Linked DNA regions of Ovis aries. The protein of the gene in region 2 purifies or fractionates together with the protein of the main gene of each other region. This does not show direct contact. Links are inferred from orthologs where the notes say so. Each region holds a gene or a part of one and is shown on either strand. Other genes may lie near its edges.

The links. Proteins that work in one complex are often made in the same cells at the same time.
Region 1: the proteins of POLR2B (region 2) and DNAAF10 purify together in Homo sapiens (affinity purification with mass spectrometry; 3 studies listed by BioGRID and IntAct, with this or other methods). This does not show direct contact. The link is inferred for Ovis aries from reciprocal best matches to the Homo sapiens genes POLR2B and DNAAF10.
Region 3: the proteins of POLR2B (region 2) and GPN1 purify together in Homo sapiens (affinity purification with mass spectrometry; 4 studies listed by BioGRID and IntAct, with this or other methods). This does not show direct contact. The link is inferred for Ovis aries from reciprocal best matches to the Homo sapiens genes POLR2B and GPN1.

The regions. Positions count from the first base shown.
Region 1 is NC_056056.1:40,182,769-40,186,421, reverse strand, and holds part of DNAAF10 (dynein axonemal assembly factor 10), read right to left. Parts: intron 3,072-3,653; coding exon 2,941-3,071; intron 1-2,940. UniProt on the Homo sapiens protein: Key assembly factor specifically required for the stability of axonemal dynein heavy chains in cytoplasm.
Region 2 is NC_056059.1:73,104,104-73,107,756, reverse strand, and holds part of POLR2B (DNA-directed RNA polymerase II subunit RPB2), read right to left. Parts: intron 3,045-3,653; coding exon 2,894-3,044; intron 1-2,893. UniProt on the Homo sapiens protein: Catalytic core component of RNA polymerase II (Pol II), a DNA-dependent RNA polymerase which synthesizes mRNA precursors and many functional non-coding RNAs using the four ribonucleoside triphosphates as substrates.
Region 3 is NC_056056.1:34,651,046-34,654,698, forward strand, and holds part of GPN1 (GPN-loop GTPase 1), read left to right. Parts: intron 1-725; coding exon 726-765; intron 766-1,575; coding exon 1,576-1,642; intron 1,643-2,502; coding exon 2,503-2,540; intron 2,541-3,653. UniProt on the Homo sapiens protein: Small GTPase required for proper nuclear import of RNA polymerase II (RNAPII). May act at an RNAP assembly step prior to nuclear import.

The DNA.
Region 1 (3,653 bases), on a different chromosome or scaffold from region 2:
GACAGAAAAAAAACAGGAGTTGGCAAAATTTAACAGTGAATGATGGCATTTCTTTCTGCATTCTCTTCACATGGCTTCCTATGTACATGGAGATATTATAGCTGTTACAATATCTGAAAAACAGTCATGTTTTTCTGACTTGTTATTGGGCAAGTTGTACTTAATATAAGAGCTATAACCCACATGTTATACCGTCTGACTTGATTTCCAACTAGCAGATACACAACAAAGCCAACAACTGTTCTTAAGTTGTCAACAAGGTATGACTGATAAGGCAAACACAAATGTTACGTAAGTTAAACCATGCCTTACTTTCTTGATTTAAGCCTAAAACAAATGTACTATTTATTCAGACTAAAGCAAGTATCATTTTAATGTTTTCTCCTTAGTACCCATATAATCATTGGCATTTTTCTTATACATATCAGTTCAGTTCAGTTCAGTCACTCAATTGTGCCCGACTCAGCAACCCCATGAACTGCAGCACGCCAGGCCTCCCTGTCCATCACCAACTCCCGGAGTTCACTCAGACTCACGTCCATCAAGTTGGTGATGCCATCCAGCCATCTCATCCTCTGTCGTCCCCTTCTCCTCCTGCCCCCAATCCCTCCCAGCATCAGAGTCTTTTCCAATGAGTCAACTCTTCGCATGAGGTAGCCAAAGTACTGGAGTTTCAGCTTTAGCATCATTCCCTCCAAAGAAATCCCAGGGCTGATCTCCTTCAGAACGGACTGGTTGGATCTCCTTGCAGTCCAAGGGACTCTCAAGAGTCTTCTCCAACACCACAGTTCAAAAGCATCAATTCTTCGGCGCTCAGCTTTCTTCACAGTCCAACTCTCACATCTTATACATATAAATAAACTAATTTTTGCATCTATGATTTCTTATATGAGGCTTTAGAATACCATTTCATATACAATTCAGTTTAATTTCCCCATGGCAGTAAAGAAGAGGGAAGAAGTTAATAAAAGTAACCAATAATTCTTCTCAATTTAACTCCCTCATTTTAATGCAAATTATGGGAAAACTAACTGGTGTCACTGATTTTGAGAAACACAAAGACATGTAATAAAATGGTTAAAAGGCAAGTACCCAACAGAAAAAGGGTAAAAAAATCCATGAAAAGGATAATAAATGCAGGAAACGGGGAGATATTTCACTAGATTTATGGCCAAGGATAAAGTTGGTCATTATAAAGGCTGCTTCAAGGAAAAATAAATTTCCTATAAATGTGACAAGTTATTATAATTTCTCTATGCATTTTCCTGGTGGCTCAGTGGTAAAGAATCTGTCTGCCAGTGCAGGAGACACCTGGGTTGGGAAGATCCCCTGGAATAGGAAATGGCAACCCACTCTAGCATTTTTGCCTGAAAAATCTCATGGACTGAGGAGCCTGGTGGGCCACAGTCCACAGGGGTCATAAAGAGTCGGACATGCCTGAGCACGCATGTTATACATGACAGAACTCATAAAAATTGGTAACATTAAGCTTGTAACAGTTAAATGAACAAAGGACATACATAGACAATCTGCAAAACAAAATTAACTAAAAAAACAAATACAGAGAGACGTTAATGCAAGTCAGGACAGGACAGCATTTTTATCTCTAAAATTAGGGGGAGAAAGGAATCAATTGCTGGTGGGTAGACTAGCAATCTACCTCATCTACCATAGTTGATACGGTAAATAGGTACCTTGGGAAGTTTGACAAGTTTCTTAAGTGATAAAATATGATTATTCCAAAGAGTTACATACATGATGATACTCATTTCACTGTCACTCTCCCAAAACAACAAATAAAACCTTCATGCAAAGCAAATGCTCATTAACAGGGGCATCGCTAAGGAACTGTGATCCATTCATAGGATGGAATACTATAAAGCATCAAAATGATAATTATGAAGACCACACCAAAACAGCAATCTCATATGACAAAACACTAAATATAAAAAGATTAAGATACAAAATTGAGAAAACTGTGAATTCCCTGGCGGTCCAGTGGTTAGCACCCCCTACTTCCACTACTAAAGACACAGGTTCCATTTCTAGTCAGGGAACTAAGATTCCGCATGCCCTGGTGAAGCCAAAAAAATAAACAGACTAAGAAAGAACAAAACTCAATCATATTAACCCTGATAATACAGTGTTAATTAATAAATTGTATCTTAGACTGGAAAGGAAAACCAACCTGATATTTATGCTAGTGTGGTAGACTGTAATTTTTCCTTCTATATTCCAGACTTCTTCTACGATTGGAAAAAATAATTTGATTTCTAAAACACAGCTGCTCTTAAGAAACTGTTAGAAAATTAAATTCTACTTTTCTGTGAAAACAATTTCTTCATGGTCTTGAGCATTAAAAAAAACCTAGCCAAACCAATAAATATACCAATCACTTAGGTCCCCCTTCTGCAGCAACAAAAATTCTGACTCTGTTTTATTCACAACAGCTCAGGACCCCAAAAGGCCTGTTGCTTGTTAGTCACTGCGGGGGAAAAGCAGAGTTGGAGCTCCGGAAGCTTCCTGCAAAGCTCAGCGGAAAGACCACAGACTGCAGTGTTCAACCAGCTGTCAATATGACAATTTTCACAAGTACTAATTCTGCTTTTTAAAAAAAGAAAATGAAAAGCTGCCACCCACAGTATATCGTCAGCTACCTCAAAAATTTCTAGAGACTTTTTAAATCCTCAAGGTTCAGAGGAAACTATGGTTGTTAATAGCTGAACTAGCACAAGACTAAAATAGTAAGTGCTATGCCTCTATCTCGAAATCTCCCAAGAGCCTGAAACAATTGAGGGATATACAATCAAACTTGCCCATCAAAAAAAATAGAGAGATTTAGGGGGTCAAGGATTGAAGAAGACTTCCACATAGAATATATTGTTGCACAGAGACTTAACTAAAAAAAAAAATTAATGTACACAGAATATTCTGACTTACCATCTCGGCTGCCAGTCACAATTTCAGGTGCCCCTTCCCCAATTCCAAGTCCACCAACACCATCTATAGTGTTTATAATTTCTTTATGGCCCTTTACAGAATACACTGGGACCTCTGGAGCTTCCAAATTCCTGAACAACAGAACACAGCTTCTTACTTACACATACCCCAAGTGTTTAGTTCACTACTCAAATCTAAGAATGCAGGCCATATTGAGATTTTGGATTAAAAAAAAGGGTTTTTCAATTAAGGTAACTTATACATTTACTTCCAAATTTTCCTCCACACTTCAGCTTCTTTCAAGGCCTCTGTAAGGGCTGTTATCACTCAACTTGGAATTCTAACTCCTGAGCCCACTTTACTCAATGATCCTCAAAGACGACTGATCCAGGACCTCTGCACATGAGTCCACCAGGGATGTTTCTTAAAAAAATACAGATTCACAGGCTCCTCCCCAGACATAATGAACAAGTATCTCTGGGGTGGGGCCCCAAACCTCCCAACTCTCTGAGGCTGATAATACTGCTTTAAATACAGAGTAAATTCAAAGTGATTTAGAATGTTTCCAAAGTGGGCCTTGGTAGTTTGATCTTGAGATCTTTTGAGAGATAAAACAGGAGTAGGGTTTGCTTTGTATACATTTCTTCCTTAATATTATTTTCTGAGTTCCACACTGATTTTCATCTAGTTACACTGTTCAGTTTGTCGTCATG
Region 2 (3,653 bases):
TTCATCCCAACAGCAAGGGGAGGGAGAGAGAATTCTTTTGTATAGAATAAGTGGGGGTGGGGAGTGGCATTTCAAGTCTCAGTATTTTCCCCTATTTCTTCTTACTGCCCAGACCTCTAGTCTTGAAAAAAATACTGGGAACATAGGAAGCGACAGCATGGAAACAGTGATTTAAATTTTATCGAAGAGGGTCTATAAAATTCTGTATTTCAACACAGCTGAATTTTCTTTTTACCCTGATCCTGGCTCATAGCTTCAAAACTGCTGTGGTCTGTGTTTGTTGTAGGAATGTCCATCTCTGTGTCTGATACCTTAACTCTCCACCTTCACTACCATCAGATCTCCACCTGACTTGTCCTCTCTGTGCCCTAGAGAAAAGACAGTCCCTGAATTAAAACTCTACTTGAGTCTTGGGAAGAAGAGTTTCTGCTCAGAACTGGAGACAGGGTGGAATTTAGGACTTGGACCTCTAGGCTCTCTTAGTCCCCTTCTCTCTTCTCTCCCCAACAGGCATTTCAATTCTCTGCCTTGGGTCTGTGAACTCTGCTGCTTAACACTGTCCTCTTCTGCCCCAACCTAATCCAGGCACCACCCATCCCGAGGTCACTGAAAGAGATGCCTTTCTTCAGAAAACCTTTGGGATTAGAATTTCCCCAGGAAGATGAAGGATGGAACGTTCATTGCTGGGTTTCATCTCTCCTTCTGACCCAAAACTTCCCACAAAAATGTCTCAAGAAACCTTCCCAAAACTTAGCATTCTGCCCCATTCACTAACTGCCAATTCCCATGGGCAGATAACTGGGAATCCTTGAGGGGGCATTTCTGTGTAAGAGATGTATGGAATCAGTATGATAGCCACCTTCTTTCAATACTGTGTGCAAAGAGGAATAAAAAAGAAACAACAACAGAAAATCCTAATTACTATTCTACATAAAGAAATGAGAATTTCCAACCATGGCTGACTATAGCTTATTTCACAGTTAAAAAAAAAAAAAGAGAGAAAGAAAAATTTTCAATTAAATATCTGCTACCCAATAAAACAAGATCCAAGAGAACTTTCCAGAGTTAAATGGATACGGAATTTCTCTCTAAATCAAACCTCAGAAAAGGAAAAGATGGAACTACGCAGATCACTAAAGGAAAATTGTGAATACCCAAGTTTCCCAAGCTGGAGTAGGCAAAGAGCAAAAAGAACTACTGTTGATAATGAAACAAAAGGAATCCAGCCATCCAACTACTTATTTCCACTATCACCTTAGTTTAGGACATTATTATCTGAAACTTAAGCTATTTCAAAATTTGTATCTGACTCCAGTCTCTTACCATTCCAAGTAAACACCATTTCCAAAGCAACCTTTTTAAATAACACTTTAATACATTCTTTGACAGTCTTTCCACAATTTCCCATGACAGCCAATGACATCCAAGCATGTGACAACCTAGTTCCATCTTATCTTCCACTATCAAAAAGAGATCAAGTCAAAAACAATACACTGACTACGGTGGTCCCTCCATTCCAACCACAAGCCAAATTCATGAAGTATCTCTTGCTGAAATGATTAAATATCTTTTCTCTACTAAGACAAATGCCCTTTACAGTCAGCTTAAGTCCCTCCCATCTTTTTCACTAAGCTCTGATACCAAAGCTTACGAGATCTCTTCCTTCCATAGTATTTATTTTGGAACTCTGAATATGCTATATTGTTGTCTCTCGTTTTGAAAAGACCATATAGAAAAAAATGCCATACATTAAAAAAAAACAAAGACATTTTATACCCATTTTTCCAACACAGTGCCTGAAGAGTCAATTATTTTTGTTCTCAAGAGCAAAGTCTATGCAGTAGCTCCACCTAAAATGAGAATAATACACCAGCACTTATGAGATAAGCTACGGAAAAGAGGGACTGATCTGGCAGGAAATAATAATCTTTCCCTCTGTCTACTTCTACTTCTTTTCTACCTCATTTTGGTTTTTAGTTTTCCCTGTCCCTCAAGACCGATCAAGCTGCCTCTCTACTCAAAAACTAGGAACATGGAATTCCCTGGTGGCTCAGTGGCTAGGATTCTGGGCTTTTGCTGCCATGGCCTAGGTTTGATCCCTGGTGGGGGAAATTGAGATTCCCCCAAACCATGCAGCAATAAATAGTACTTAAAAAAAAAAAACTGGGGTGGGAAGAAAGTTCATGAGGGAGGGAAATATGTATACCTATGGCTGATTTATGTTGCTGTATGGCAGAAACCAACAACATTGTAAAGCGATTATCCTCCAATTAAAAATAAATAAATTAAGGAAAAAAAACTAGGGACAGTCATTGTTTTCGACTACATACACACTTCTTTACAATCACTCAAAACTAGATTCTAAAATGATAGCCCTGCTATGATTTTAACAATGCTGAAAACATGCACATGTTTAAAAAAAAAAAAGACTACAAACTAATTTAGAAAAATTAAAAGAGCTGATATATTTGGGTGATTTCCCCTTACCTCTTATATTGATATAACAATGTATTTCATGCAACAAATAATCAAGGCAGAGGTTCTTCACCTACTTTTTCTTTCTATTACTTATACTTGGAAAGACAAAAGGAGGATTTTCTGAAGTAATATGACTATTTCTGGCTTGCTTCTCTCAGTAGCTCATCATATCTCTTGAGATTCTTCTTCCTGACTATTAAATACCTACTATCTGAATAGGAATTAACAGTTCTGCATTACTCGCAAAAATGCATCTCTCCACTAGTAAGACTAAATCAGGAGCTGATAGAAACTGTTGAAAGTACACTACAGAAAGTACACCTTTCTTTTTTAACCTTTAAGCCAGGTGAGAAAAGGACTGAAATTTCAAATCAATACCCTTATTTATGTTACTTTATTAAAATAACCATCTTACCGGTTCTTCAACTTCTCCACTAGCATGCTGAGCTTCAGCTTGTAGGTCTATAGGTGGAGCATCTTCCACAATTCTTTGAACAGACATCTGAATAAACTCATCAAAAGAATCCAGCTGTTGTCTCACCAAACCTTTCTCATCAAAATAGGAACTGGGAAAATATGAGTTTACAATCAGTTACAACTCACTAATGTTTTCTAGCATATTTCCCCATTTTCACTATCATTAAATTCAACAAATATTAATCATAAAATAGAAATCACTCTGTACCCATCACTATATAAAATACTATCATGTATCTAAAAAGGCGATGAGACTAGGAACACTTTCTTTGTCGAACTTATTGTTAAGTCTGTGGAAATGAGACTTATACCTGTGGGTAGAATTACTAAAACACAACGTAAGAACTATAAGGAAGCCCTAACTTATAAATATCCCTTATAAACTTTATCCAACCTCTCTGAAACATTTCTTGAAACTAAAGAAAATGTATAGTCAAAGAGAAAAACATTAACAGGGATGGGCCATGAGACTATTAAGAGAAATAAACAGGAGAAAATCAGATAGCACATGATTTCACTCATACATGGAATCTTAAAAACAAAGGGAAAAAACCCAAACCCAAAACAACAGACAAACAAAACAAAAAAAACTCACAGACATAGAGAACAGAAAAGAGGTTACCAGAGAGAGAAGGTGGTTAGCTTTATAGGTGAAATGGGTGATGGGGGTAAAATGTAAGGTGATACAAATGATGGAT
Region 3 (3,653 bases), on a different chromosome or scaffold from region 2:
CATACAACAGTATTATATTATTATTGACTATATTCCCCACACTGTACATTTCACCCCCATGACTCATTTGTTTTGTAACTGAAAGTTTGTACCTCTTAATCTCCATCACTTATTTCTCTCCCTGACATCCACTCCCCAAGTTAATGCCTTTATAAAAATGTTATCTGCTTTAACTTAGTTACCAGTAAGTGAGGAGTAAAGAATAAGCCTTTTTTCTTGATTTAACTCCCTTTTTCTATATATATGGTCACTGAGAAAGTACTTAAGTCGTATAGAACTTTTCTTTTCATCTCAGACCATCCCTACTGTAACCGGAGAGCTCCTAGCCTAACCTTCTTGGGTTACTTGGCAGTTATCCGTGACCATAAGGAAGTAAACCAGTGTGAAGCTGGAGAAGTTACTAACAGACAGTGCTGAGCATAGAAGCTTCAAAAGCTGGTTTCAGTTTCTTGTCGGGAGGGAAGATACTTCCAGGGTACCTTTTGTCCTCCTAGTCTGTTCCTGAACTTGCTGCTTTTGCTATCACAATTCAGTGATCTTAGCTTGAAAATTTAGGAAACAGATTTGAAAAGTGACTTGGATGCTAAGAGAGAAACTGATTTATTTCCTCAGAGGAAGCAGAGATAACTTGAGAAGTCAATTAGCTTAGATATTATAGAGAGTCTCAAATTGTATTGTTTCTTATGTGTTAAATTCCATTTCTTTGTTTTTTCCACCCCCTGCAGACATTCGTGACACTGTGAAGTATAAAGAAGTCATGAAACAGTATCCTTTTCTACATCTACTTTGTTGTTGGCTCATCCCTGGTTAGTTACTTTCTGTGTATTGTATAGCTTTGAAAAAATATCTGTGCCTTTCCTTGTGAAGTATACTAGCAAAAGCATTTGATAGTTTTCTAGTAACTTTATAAAGAGGAGGGATGATGAATATGAGGAGAGGCATTGTAGGTGATTAGACATCCTATTTCAGCTTGTGAGTTCCATTTTCTGCCTTTGTCCCAAACTGCAGGATGTTGTGATTAGCACAGAGGATCAGCGGCTAGCTGGTGGTGTGCCTGGGTCCACAAGGTAGTATTGCCTTGGTGGATACAGCTATTGGTCACCATCTCTTTAGACTGGGAAACTCAAAGGTTAGTAAGATCAACTGTAAGTTTTGGGTTGGTCAGCTCTTAGTACATTGCCCATAAAATGTGTATTTTCCCTTTAGGTCCTACTGAGTAGGAAGACTGACTCCAATCCTCAGGTGACTTGAAGAGTGAGAATCAGAGCAAGGAGTGGTACATAGACGATCTTCATGGCTAATGCTCTCAGACTGTCAATGCCTGAAATATCTGTCCATTCCATTTGGCCCCATTTTACGTGGCCATTGTTAAACAATAAATGAATGAGGTAGACATCAATAATGAGTGTTTCCCTATGAGGTTAAGATTGTGTGGTACATTTTAGTCAATGGAACACTAATGTTATGCTGGGTTTGTGTGTGTGTGTGTGTGTGTGTATGAGGGATTGTCAAGATAATAAACTTTATCATCTAAATTGATCTATAAGCAATTTAAATCCTTAACTTAATGTCTAGGTATGGACTTGGACCTAATGGTGGCATAGTGACCTCACTTAATCTCTTTGCTACCAGATTTGATCAGGTATATCTGTCTCTATTTACATAAACATGGCTGTGTTAAAACTTGTGACTCTTAAATGCCTTAGCTTGATCACATTGGGAAAGAAGGGCAATCCATCTGGATGTCCATATAGAACATAAGGAGGTATTTTGGTGGACAGAGAAGTAGGCTATGTGAGGATGATCAACATGGCGAGAGACTTCACACTGAATGTTTGTGGCAGCCAACAAAGCAGACACCTAAGAGACTTGAGTTCTTTTGCTCTCCTTTTTTTTTCGGCCATGTGGCTTGCAGGATCTTAGTTCCCCAACCAGGGATTGAATCCTGGGTCTTTGGCATTGAAAACACAGAGTCCTAACCGCGGGACCGCCATGGAATGCCCCCAGGTTCTATTCTTCATCTGTGCAGTTTTACCCCAAGGATGGGTTGGAGGGATGGGGAGTGGGAAGGTCTGCCAGGAAGAGAATGGAATGATTATGGGGCTTCTCACTTGTAGCAGATAGTTGTCATCATCTATTAGGTTTTTTCTGTCACATTCCACTTCCTTAAGAGAGTTTTGCATCACTATTTTTTTTAACCTCGGTTTCACTCAGTGAGACAAGCTGTTAACATTTTACCAAAGCACCAAGAAAGAGACTTGGGACTGACAGATCCAAGTCTTCAGCTCCTCAGGTGCTTGCCCTGTGCTCCAGGGTGTTGTGGTGCTGCAGGTGTGGCTTTGTTTCTTTAGTTCCATGAACATGTTAGTTGGTGTCCTCAGATGGACAACATAGAGATTCAGTTGTTAATGGTGCCTGTGAGGTGGGCCACTCTGGACAGGGCCCTGTAATTTTTTTCTGTTGAACTTGGATTCTGTTGTAATTGACATCTTTCTCTTTTAGGTGATGAAATTTATTGAGAAGGCTCAGAACACATCTAAGTAAGTGATTTCAGTCTAATGCCTATTTATTACTCTGTAGTAGATGTGTTTCAAAGTTTTTTTGAAAGATTTTGGGATACTATCAAGTTTTGAAAGAGTGAAGTTTGAGATGAAACCATGACAAGTGAAGAAAACTGTGGTCAAGAAGACAAGTTATTGAGATGCTCTACAGTGTGGAGCTTAGTTTAATAGAATCCCATCCCCAATCACTTTGGAATATGGTTCTGGCTTCTTAGGAGGTATCTTTAGAATTTGAGTCAACTCACTTGTTCAGTTGCCTTCTCTTGCTTGTTGGCATTAAAGTGTCTGAAATACCTTTCTAATCCTTGTTTACAGTAATATAATTCACATGATTCAGAGAGACTATTTTTTAATTTAAAAAGTATTAAAAAATAAAATAGAGTAATATTCTTATTATCATTGTCTGTGATTAACAACTGTTGTTAAATTTTTAATAGGTTTGCTTTTTTAAAAGAAAGGAAGATAATTTGTTTTTGTAAAAAGAGTATAGACATTACTGTGACTATTTCATACCATGCATAGATTTAAAATAGGAATCTATCACCCTTCTTATCATTAGAAATAACAATCATTATCATTATTGCTACTGTGAGGATATAGTAGCAGTGATTTATCATCCCAGGTGTTTCTGTTTATATGTACATAGATAGAAGGATGGCTGGATAAGGTGTTTTTACAAAAAAAGGATCATATAGGAGTAGTTTTTTAAAAGTAACAGCTTTGTTACAGTATGAATTCCCAGACCATAATGTGTACTCTTTAAAAGTATACAGTTTAGTAGTTTTTGGTATATTCACAAAGTTGTGCATTGATCATAATCACCTGATTTCAGAACATTTTCATCTCCAAAAGAACCCCATTCTCATTAGCATTCATTCTTTTCCCTATTTCTCCAAGCTCCTGGTAGCTGCAGGCACCATTTTACAACATACATGCATTGAGGGTTCCATTTTCTGTACATACTTATCAGTACTTATTACTGGTTTTGATTAGAGCCATCTTAGTGGGTATGAAGTGGTGTCACATTGTGTTTATGGTATGTATTTCCTAAATGATTAATGATGTTGAGCATCTTTTAATGTACTTCTTAGC